Linked DNA regions of Xenopus tropicalis. The protein of the gene in region 3 interacts with the protein of the main gene of each other region in a pairwise test. Links are inferred from orthologs where the notes say so. Each region holds a gene or a part of one and is shown on either strand. Other genes may lie near its edges.

Region 1 (3,751 bases), on a different chromosome or scaffold from region 3:
TCAGATGCCTGTGTCAGTTACTGAGCACCCAAAGTACCATGGACTCTTAACTAAACTTTATGTAATAGCATTACAAGCTCTCATTCTCTGTAAAGTGCTGCAGAACCTGTAAGCTAAGGTAATGATCATGTGAAAAAAAAATCAAGAAAATTCAGCAAAAAGAGCATTAACGTGCAGCCCTGCAACATGCATTTCTTAAAGGAAAAAGAAAGGTAAAGTCACTTGGGGGTGCCAAAATGTTAGGCACCCCCAAGTGACTTTAACCGCCTACCTTTTACCCCGGGCTGGTGCCCCTGTTAGGAGAAAATAGCACCAGCCCGGGGTACCTGGAGTGCAGCACTTCCTCCTTCCGCCTTCCACTTCCTAAACTGCCGGTGGCCGGGCATGCACAGTAGAGCGAAAAAGCCGACTTAAATGTTTAAGTTCGGCTTTTCACTCTACTGCGCATGCGCGCGCAGCGAAGCCGGAAGGAGGAAGCGCCGGCAGCTACCCCGGGCTGGTGCTATTTTCTCCTAACAGGGGCACCAGCCCGGGGTACAAGGTAAGCGGTTAAAGTCACTTGGGGGTGCCTAACATTTTGGCACCCCCAAGTGACTTTGCCTTTCCTTCCCCTTTAAGTGCCCTTAAATTTTTTTTTTGCGATGGAGCAGCATTAAATGATGTGCCAAAAGATAGTGAATAGGTATCGCATGAACCGTCTTTACTTATTGCACAGGCTCTATTTATATCGTTCAAGTTTGAGCCACACATCTTTCTACCGTACAGCACTGGGGGAGATGTATACAAGTGAGAATTGCTGCCTAGTTAATACATGCTGAGCAATAAAACAAAAAAAAAAACAATTGAAACGTAGCATCTGGTGTTTGTGTAAACGCATTCAGTTAAACGAGCAAAACAAAAAAGTCGGAAAGCCACAAACAACCGTGCCACTTGGCACACAGAATGCTAATAACGGAACCGGCAGCTTATTCCGGAGACAACCCACAGTTCCACAAAACGCCACTAGTTCGATTCCATTCCACGCATGCGCTACTTCGCTGCGTCCTCGCCTCGTCTTGTGTATCCCTCCGCCAGAACCTACTTTCCTTCCTGTAACCAGCAAAATGATTATAAACAAATATGTTTAATAAACTGAGAATACAGTTCAATCAGAGTAACATTTAGGCATTAAAATAACTTATTTACAATTAAACACAACGGCATAGTCAGTCGCGCCACCTTCCCTAACATGAAATCAAGGCAATGCGCGCACACAAAATATAGTGCACCTCCGCGCTAAACGCGGGGACTTTTGTGCGGGGATTTTCGGCGCCGATGAGAAGGCGATTGAAGTAAAACCGGCTTGGTTTGAAAGGAAAGCTCCCCAGCAGAGGAGAGCAGGGCAGCCGAGACGGTACCAATACGACGGGCACGGTAAGCTTAGGCAGCGCTGGGAGACGTTTCTGTCAGGTTACCGAATCTTTTCCAGGTCAGTCTTGGGTGTCGGGCCCTACCGGATGTGGAAGTTGATCTCTTCTGTGGTAAAAAATAATTCAACTTCCCCCGGAACCCAGATCATCCGAACGATTTCCTGTTTATTGCGTTAAAGCCGGCGGGTTTCCGGGGATCCGGGGCTGTGCCAGGGGCTTCCCGGGTTCTGGGGGTTCTAGAAGCGAAGGGAACTGTAAAGGCGGGAAGGGCTGATGCCTGGCTATGCACAGGCGCTTCAGAAGGCCGCGGTTCCGAGAGGCGGGAAATGTAACCCGCCAAGCATTTCTCTGACTAAAGGACATATTTTGCTTATTACTAATAAATTGTGTTGTTGCTCGTTGACATGTTATTAATGAGGTCTGAAGTATTTTGTTCCCTCGCACATCGGCCTGGGATTGTGCTCGCAGCGCTTTACACGAGGCTCAGGCTGGCCAACGGGGGTTTTATTCTTATATTTGTGCAGTCTGCATCCTTTACTTGCTGCTATACTACATCTCCCGGCACACACAGCGACAGCAAATCATAGATTAGAAAGTAAGCTGCAGGCTTGCAGAAATAATTACATTCATGCACTAATATGTCCTCCGCGGGTGGCACTTACAGTGGGGAGCTGCTCATTGGCGGGCATGTTTGGTTTGGAATCAGTTTAAGGCCTAGGCTATACACATGCTTAATAACCCTAGAAACATGCCACGCTTGCTTTATTATTCATTCAAAGTTCTTGTCACTGAACATGTTATGCGCATTTTGTACGTGTAATGTCACCCAGTTTTATTCCAGCGTTCTGTTCTTTTATTAAATGACACCACTATTGCCACTGTCAAGATGATCGGTTTTGCAGTATTGTTAAGCAGGAGCTGCGAGTTTGGAGCTTCTATGTGATTGCAGAGCTGTCCTTAGGGACTGTGCCAGCAGGGGGCGCTGCATGAGGAGCCTCACAGGCATCTGTATGCAAGGAACATGTATAGAAGTTTTATACTGGAACTATCATTAAGCTTGCCTTTGTAAGCAGTAGGGATGATAGGCATAGCCGCTAGAATAGTTAGGGGGGAAAGCAACAGTCAGCAGGAATGTCTCACTCTGAGCTTAACTCATTTTTTTTTAACTACAGGACCATGGTTTTAGCTCAGCAACTGCTAAAAGACTTCATTTGTGATAGTCTTGCTTTATATAAATAGTGGGGCTCTGAGTACCGCCACAACCAAGGATATTCTGGTGAGCTATGGGTCTCTTCCACCAATTGCTGTTTGTCCCTGGCAAAGTTTAGCTGCCTAAGTTCAGAAATAGGAGGCACTGCTTTGCACCATATTGACCTGTTCATTACATCACTGGCAGCATTTCTTGAATTGTCAGTCGCATCTGGGTTTGCACCCCTTAGAGCAGGGGTCCCCAACCTTTCTACTCGAGAGCCACAGTCAAATGTAAAAAGACTTGGAGAGCAACACAAGCATCATAAAAGTAAATTGAGGCGCCAAATAAGGGCTAAGATTGGCTATTAGGCAGCCTCTATGTACACTATCAGCTTACAGGGGACTTTATTTTGTAGTAAATCTTGTTTATATTTAACCTAAACTTGTCACCAAGTCAGGAATTCAAAAATAACTACCTGGTTTGGGGGCACTGAGAGCAACATCCAAGGGGTTGGTGAGCAACATGTTGCCAACATGTGAGCCACTGGTTGGGGATTACTGCCTTAGAGTTAATTTATATTCTGCTGTTTACTAAATAGTGCAACTGGAGAGGGCCCTTTTATCTATCTATTTGTATGTGTTCCTTATTTAATACTTCTATGTGTAGTTACCACTTTATAATTGCACTAGAGTAGTAATGCAGGAAAGCTGGAAAATCTGCTTTTATAAATGTCTGTCTGGAATCTCTGTAAAACATCTGAGCTTTTATCAGCGAAGAAGGAAGTTTGTAAGCCACATGTCAGAAAAAAACTGATTTACTCAGCAGTTCTCAAAAGGTAAAGTTTTAGAGGCTTAGATATCTTGGCATGCAGACCACGTGATGTGGATGTTTATTCTAAGTGGCATTGTAAATGTATGTTCAGTGCAATAAATACTGTGACTGACAGTGCTTCAGCTCTGAATTTTCTATGTTCAGAATATTTATACAAAGTATAGTAATGTTTCTAAAGCAAACGCATACCCATATTACGGTTATCCCCCTCCCCATTGAAAATGCATAAAACCCCTTTGTTACTGGCAGCGTTGGGCTGAGCTCAGAGTGTGGTTGGTGTATGGCTATCACACTTCAAATAAATGGGCCTGCTGGGTTG
Region 2 (3,751 bases), on a different chromosome or scaffold from region 3:
ATATATATATATACAGGATACAGATACACATTTCCCCCATATATATATATACAGGATACAGATTTGCCCCATATATATATATACAGGATACAGATTTGCCCCATATATATATATACAGGATACAGATACACATTTCCCCCATATATATATATATACAGGATACAGATTTGCCCCATATCTATATATACAGGATACAGATTTCCCCCATATATATATATACAGGATACAGATTTCCCCCATATATATATATACAGGATACAGATTTCCCCCATATATATATATACAGGATACAGATTTGCCCCATATATATATATACAGGATACAGATACACATTTCCCCCATATATATATATATACAGGATACAGATTTGCCCCATATATATATAGACAGTATATAGACATCCGCATTCATTGGCAGGCCGGGGGCGGCAGATCAATGATCAACCAATGGGGAGGGTTCGCTGATATAACATTTACAGCCGGGGGCCACAGAGAAGGTGAATGGACTTCGGCGCATTCAAACAAAACCAAAAGTTACCGGCCGGGGATGGTCTCTCCCTCGGTTCTACCCCGTCCCGGGGTAACTTGCCCTGGGTACAGCAGTGATTGGTTCTGACACCCCCAGGGAAGAAATTGCCCCCCTATAAATGCCACAAACAGTAACCCCTGGTGCAAAAACATATTCATTAAACACAGGCCCAAAATGTCAGCTCCTCTGCCCAGTCTAACGGGAATCAGTATCCGTCCCCTTCTCACTATCCGACCTTTCAACTGCCCCCCCCAGGGGGCTCCAACACACTGACTAAAGCAAATAAAAGCCCCCGAGGCCCAGAGCAACTGATTGAATCAAGCGGCAGAAGCCTGGAAGTCGCCCCCCCCCCGAGTGTATCGACCCCCCCAGGGAGCTGTGAGACCCCCTAACCTGTTGCACTGAGTAGGGGGGCAATTCCTGGGGGGGGTACAATGTATCTGTAAAGTTTCAGGGCTGTTCCATGTAATGGGGGGGGGGGGTTATAATTAACAATTAATTCATTTACATGTTTGCATATCATTATGTCACTTTCTATAGAAATTCTGTAAATCAAATGGTTCCATAAATGTCTGTTTGTAGAGCGGCGGGGGGCGCGGGGGGCACGGGGGGCACGGGGGGTACGGGGGGCAGTAACTCCCGGCGATGCTCTTATTTCAGGGGAAAAGAAGTGAAATTCAGTAAAAGTGTCGGCGCTTCCCCTGGGCACGGGGGGGGGGGCATGTGATGGGTAAGGGATCCTGCTTGCCCCCCCCCCCCGTGCCCCGGGGCAAACAGCGAGACGCGGGGAGTATTTACATTGAGCTCGGGAAATTCAAACACAAATTTACATTTCCACTGGGAGAAAAACAAAGTTGTGCCAACCCTGGCGCTGCCCCTCGGGCACAGGGAATAGGGGCAGAGATATGCCCGCTGGCCTGGCAGTCAGGGAGCCGGCACTTGGGTCTGGGCACAGTCTGACAGCAGGATCACAAGGCAACCTTCTCTCGGTTCCCAGGATAAACAACCCCATAAATAGGGGCACAAAGTGCCCAGAGTCTGCCGGCTTTGCCCCGACTGAGTGCCAGGTATCTAGGGCATACGGCTAAAGTGAAAGAGATATCAGTGGCCCCCTGGGTGCAGGGAGTCTGAGAGAGAGAGAGCGAGGGAACGGCGAGAGGGGTGAGTAGTAGCGAGAGGGGATAGGGAGACGGGTAAGTAGCCTTGAGTGAGTAGCAGTGCCAGGCAGGGAGTGAGTAGCAGTGCCAGGCAGGGAGTGAGTAGTAGTGCCAGGCAGGGAGTGAGTAGTAGTGCCAGGCAGGGAGTGAGTAGTAGTGCAGGGAGTGAGTAGTAGTGCCAGGCAGGGAGTGAGTAGTAGTGCAGGGAGTGAGTAGTAGTGCCAGGCAGGGAGTGAGTAGTAGTGCAGGGAGTGAGTAGCAGTGCCAGGCAGGGAGTGAGTAGTAGTGCCAGGCAGGGAGTGAGTAGCAGTGCCAGGCAGGGAGTGAGTAGTAGTGCCAGGCAGGGAGTGAGTAGTAGTGCAGGGAGTGAGTAGTAGTGCAGGGAGTGAGTAGCAGTGCAGGGAGTGAGTAGCAGAGGGGCTGGGGGTAACTAGGGGGTTGCTGCAGGGTTCTGAGGAGGAGGGTGCAGGGAGTGAGTAGCAGGGAGTGAGTAGCAGAAGGGCTGGGGGTTACTAGGGGGTAACTAGGGGGTAACTAGGGGGTAGCTGCAGGGCTCTGACTGGGGGGCAGGGTGCAGGGAGTGAGTAGCAGAGGGGCTGGGGGTAACTAGGGGGTAACTAGGGGGTAGCTGCAGGGCTCTGACTGGGGGGCAGGGTGCAGGGAGTGAGTAGCAGAGGGGCTGGGGGTAACTAGGGGGTAACTAGGGGGTAGCTGCAGGGCTCTGACTGGGGGGCAGGGAGTAGGGGAAATAGTTTGGGAGACCTGGCCATTTGCCCCGCTCCCTGTTTACTGATGTTGCCGACTTGCCCCCCAGTTACCCCGGCCCGGAGGGGTATGTGGGCATGGGGGTGGCACGGAGAGGGCACCCAGTTGCCGGGAAAGTTGGCTGCAGGGAGTCGGGCAGAGACCCCGGAGTAACAGGGAAAGTAGGAGCCGGGGGGGGGGGTAGGAGCTGAAAGTTTCCAGCGAGGGACCCGGGCACCTCCCCAGCGGGCACCCAGCCGGGCACATCCCGCAGCCCTTTCCCCGCACAGCTGCCCCGGGCACTTACCTCTCAAACTCCGGGGGTAGGTCGGGGTCCGTGAGCATCGCTGGGGTCCGGGTCCCTGTGTGGGGGCTGCTCTGCTCCCGACTCCCAGCAACTGACTGCTCTCCGGCTTCTCCTCTGTCTCCTCTGTCTCTGTGTCTGTCTCTCCCGGAGCCGCACTCTCTCACACACTCACACACACAGCGACTCCTTGGCCACATCCTTAAAGGGCCAGTACAGCCCCATCTCCCCCACCCCCTGCCCCCTCCCTCCGGCTCCCTCCCTCCCTCCCTCCGGCACCATCAGCCGCTTCCTGCCGCACTCACTGACTCAGCTGCCCGCAGCCTGCCAGCTACAGCCACCGGGGCACCGGGACACCGGGAATAGCCCCACACACACCGGGACCCACCCCGGGCACCGCCAGCACCGGGACACCGGGACCCACAGCCCTGGGAAACGGGAGAGGAGCCTGATCAGCAGGGAGAGGAGTCTGGGCAACCGGGAGAGGAGTCTGGGCAACCGGGAGAGGAGTCTGGGCAACCGGGAGAGGAGTCTGGGCAACCGGGAGAGGAGTCTGGGCAACCGGGAGAGGAGTCTGATCAGCAGGGAGAGGAGTCTGGGCAACCGGGAGAGGAGTCTGGGCAACCGGGAGAGGAGTCTGATCAGCAGGGAGAGGAGTCTGGGCAACCGGGAGAGGAGTCTGGGCAACCGGGAGAGGAGCCTGATCAGCAGGGAGGGGAGTCTGGGCAACCGGGAGAGGAGTCTGGGCAACCGGGAGAGGAGCCTGATCAGCAGGGAGAGGAGTCTGGGCAACCGGGAGAGGAGTCTGGGCAACCGGGAGAGGAGCCTGGGCACCGGGAGAGGAGCCTGGGCAACCGGGAGAGGAGCCTGGGCAACCGGGAGAGGAGCCTGGGCAACCGGGAGAGGAGCCTGGGCAACCGGGAGAGGAGCCTGATCAGCAGGGAGAGGAGTCTGGGCAACCGGGAGAGGAGTCTGGGCAACCGGGAGAGGAGCCTGGGCAACCGGGAGAAGAGCCTGG
Region 3 (3,651 bases):
TTATTGGGCTGGGGGGGGGCTGTTTGTGCCTCTGGGTACTGGGAATGCCAGGGGGGCTGTAAGGTGCCACAGACAGTCACTATTTATTGGGCTGGGGGGGCTGTTTGTGCCTCTGGGTACTGGGAATGCCAGGGTGGCTGTAAGGTGCCACAGACAGTCACTATTTATTGGGCTGGGGGGGCTGTTTGTGCCTCTGGGTACTGGGAATGCCAGGGGGGCTGTAAGGTGCCACAGACAGTCACTATTTATTGGGCTGGGGGGGGGCTGTTTGTGCCTCTGGGTACTGGGAATGCCAGGGGGGCTGTAAGGTGCCACAGACAGTCACTATTTATTGGGCTGGGGGGGGGGGGCTGTTTGTGCCTCTGGGTACTGGGAATGCCGGGGGGGCTGTAAGGTGCCACAGACAGTCACTATTTATTGGGCTGGGGGGGGGGGCTGTAAGATATTACAATTATAAAGGTAAAAACCTGCAAATGAGGCAGAAAATAGCAGCGATGTTGCTGTATAAAGAGAAATAATAAATGGAAGATGAACCCATTAGTGGGGGCCGTCTCTATACTGAGCCTCTGCCTGATAAATGGGCTCCGTCTGATTCTCTTCTACCTCTGGGGGCAGCAATATGGCGGCCAACCCCCCCCCCCCCCCCCCACGGGATCATTTCTTAAGGACACAAGTAATATTGCTAAATTCCCACTCCCCTCCCAGCCCCCCGTAATTCTATTATCTGGCACCAAATGGATCGCTGAGCAGATTTAGACGGGAAAAAAAAAAACAATTTTATAAATGTTTTTACATTCTGGGCCCCGAGCAGCTTCTCTCCTCGTAGTTATTGTTTCTGTCTCAAATCATTGTGGGAGAAATGAATCTGAGTCTCCAAAATGTGAGCGGATAAGGGACGGGATTGTCATATTAAAGAGCTTTTATTTGTGTCTGAAAGTCTGTTATACAGATAGCTGGAATGTCAGCCATAAAGCAGGGCAGGACTGCTGCTTACAATGGGGGGATCAGATAGGATCTGTGCCACTGTGACAGAATGCTCTGTTATACAGATAGCTAGAATCTCAGCCATAAAGCAGGGCAGGACTGCTGCTTACAATGGGGGGGGGGGATCAGATAGGATCTGTGCCACTGTGACAGAATGCTCTGTTATACAGATAGCTAGAATCTCAGCCATAAAGCAGGGCAGGACTGCTGCTTACAATGGGGGGATCAGATAGGATCTGTGCCACTGTGACAGAATGCTCTGTTATACAGATAGCTAGAATCTCAGCCATAAAGCAGGGCAGGACTGCTGCTTACAATGGGGGGATCAGATAGGATCTGTGCCACTGTGACAGAATGCTCTGTTATACAGATAGCTAGAATCTCAGCCATAAAGCAGGGCAGGACTGCTGCTTACAATGGGGGGGACAGATAGGATCTGTGCCACTGTGACAGAATGCTCTGTTATACAGATAGCTAGAATCTCAGCCATAAAGCAGGGCAGGACTGCTGCTTACAATGGGGGGGATCAGATAGGATCTGTGCCACTGTGACAGAATGCTCTGTTATACAGATAGCTAGAATCTCAGCCATAAAGCAGGGCACGACTGCTGCTTACAATGGGGGGATCAGATAGGATCTGTGCCACTGTGACAGAATGCTCTGTTATACAGATAGCTAGAATCTCAGCCATAAAGCAGGGCAGGACTGCTGCTTACAATGGGGGGGGATCAGATAGGATCTGTGCCACTGTGACAGAATGCTCTGTTATACAGATAGCTAGAATCTCAGCCATAAAGCAGGGCAGGACTGCTGCTTACAATGGGGGGGATAGGATCTGTGCCACTGTGACAGAATGCTCTGTTATACAGATAGCTAGAATCTCAGCCATAAAGCAGGGCAGGACTGCTGCTTACAATGGGGGGATCAGATAGGATCTGTGCCACTGTGACAGAATGCTCTGTTATACAGATAGCTAGAATCTCAGCCATAAAGCAGGGCAGGACTGCTGCTTACAATGGGGGGATCAGATAGGATCTGTGCCACTGTGACAGAATGCTCTGTTATACAGATAGCTAGAATCTCAGCCATAAAGCAGGGCAGGACTGCTGCTTACAATGGGGGGATCAGATAGGATCTGTGCCACTGTGACAGAATGCTCTGTTATACAGATAGCTAGAATCTCAGCCATAAAGCAGGGCAGGACTGCTGCTTACAATGGGGGGATCAGATAGGATCTGTGCCACTGTGACAGAATGCTCTGTTATACAGATAGCTAGAATCTCAGCCATAAAGCAGGGCAGGACTGCTGCTCATACCTCAGATAATCCCTGCGGCACAGGATGAGATTTGCTTTCGTATAGAGAGTAGATCCGACCTCCCCGAGGCGGCAGTCGCAGCAGGCGCATTTCAGACAGTCCTCGTGCCAGTATTTATCCAGCGCTTTGAGCAGGTAACGGTCCTTAATCTTGCGGTTGCACCCGGCGCAGCCTTTCTGTTTGCCCTTGGGCTGCACTGAGAGCATCGGGACCCCTGGGGGGGGGGGGGGGGGGGGGGGGAGAGAAGAACAAACAGAAAAATAAGTCCAATATTGTGTCACATACTGGGAAAAAAACAAAATATATATACAGTATTATTATCTGTTATAGAAATATGAAATAGTGAATAAGGGATATTTATCAGGGTGGGGGCCAAACACAGACTGAGGGGTGGGGGGGTGGGGGGGTTTTAAACAGAGTTTTGGCCAAAGGGGCAAATTAGGGGTACGGCTAAGCATGTACGGGGCTTCTTTCGATTGGGGCCCCATTGTGATTGGCCAGTGCCCTGATGACTAATGGGGATCATGGGGGAAAAGGACCTTGTAGTATCGGGCCCTATGATTAGTGATGGGGCCACAGCGATGCCATTGGGGGGTACAGGGGGCACCGCTGTCAGGGACCCAAGAGAAGTTTGGGGGCATTATGGGTGAGGTTGTTCCTACATGGGGGCCCCATTCTATGGTAGGAAGTTTCCTTGACCTATGGGTTAATAACTGGGGGCCCCTGGGGGGCGGAACCTGCTAACTTAACAGTATGGGGCCCCTTGACTCCTGATTGGCCAGAAATGATGGTCTAGTTGACCCAAGCCCTGGTCAGATATCTATTGAGAATGTGAGTAAATCCCATCAGGTGGGGGCCACGGCAGGCAGTTAATGTGTTCCCCACCCAATGGGGCCGCACAGGTTTCTATTCCAATCCATATGGGGCCTGAACCCTGCAGCTTTCAAATGGGGGTCACTGACCCCGGCAGCCAAACCCTATTGCTCTGTGAGGCTCCAGTTTTATTGTTACTTTTTATAACTTGTTTTTTCTATTCAGCCCCTCCCCTATTCATATACCTGTATCTCACCCAAACCACTCCCTGGTTGCTAAGGTAACTTGGACCCTAGCAACCAAATAGTTTCTAAGCTCCTGAACGGAAAATGAAATAACTAAAAAACTACAAGAAATAAAAAAATGAAGACCAATTGCAAACTGTCTCAGAGTATCACTCTCTAGGTCATACTAAATGTAAACTCAAAGGTGAACAACCCCCTTCAAAAGTACAATTGGTTCATCGTTTACATTGGGGGGGGGGGTGTGTGGCCCTTACATTCCCATGTGTGGCCCCTACATTCCTATGAGTTGCCCC

Evidence for each region.
Region 1: the proteins of lmo1 (region 3) and gabpb1 interact in binary tests that used the Homo sapiens proteins (3 or more experiments, as listed by UniProt). The two-hybrid records come from large-scale screens. The link is inferred for Xenopus tropicalis from reciprocal best matches to the Homo sapiens genes LMO1 and GABPB1.
Region 2: the proteins of lmo1 (region 3) and sox5 interact in binary tests that used the Homo sapiens proteins (3 or more experiments, as listed by UniProt). The two-hybrid records come from large-scale screens. The link is inferred for Xenopus tropicalis from reciprocal best matches to the Homo sapiens genes LMO1 and SOX5.

Annotation. Positions count from the first base shown.
Region 1 is NC_030679.2:104,958,110-104,961,860, forward strand, and holds the start of gabpb1 (GA-binding protein subunit beta-1), read left to right. Parts: upstream 1-1,282; 5' UTR 1,283-1,413; intron 1,414-1,454; exon of another isoform or gene 1,455-2,514; intron 2,515-3,114; exon of another isoform or gene 3,115-3,436; intron 3,437-3,751.
Region 2 is NC_030679.2:1,650,761-1,654,511, forward strand, and holds the start of sox5 (transcription factor Sox-5), read right to left. Parts: upstream 2,857-3,751; 5' UTR 2,775-2,856; coding exon 2,737-2,774; intron 1-2,736.
Region 3 is NC_030680.2:3,645,900-3,649,550, forward strand, and holds part of lmo1 (uncharacterized protein LOC100144284), read right to left. Parts: intron 2,515-3,651; coding exon 2,301-2,514; intron 1-2,300. UniProt on the Homo sapiens protein: May be involved in gene regulation within neural lineage cells potentially by direct DNA binding or by binding to other transcription factors.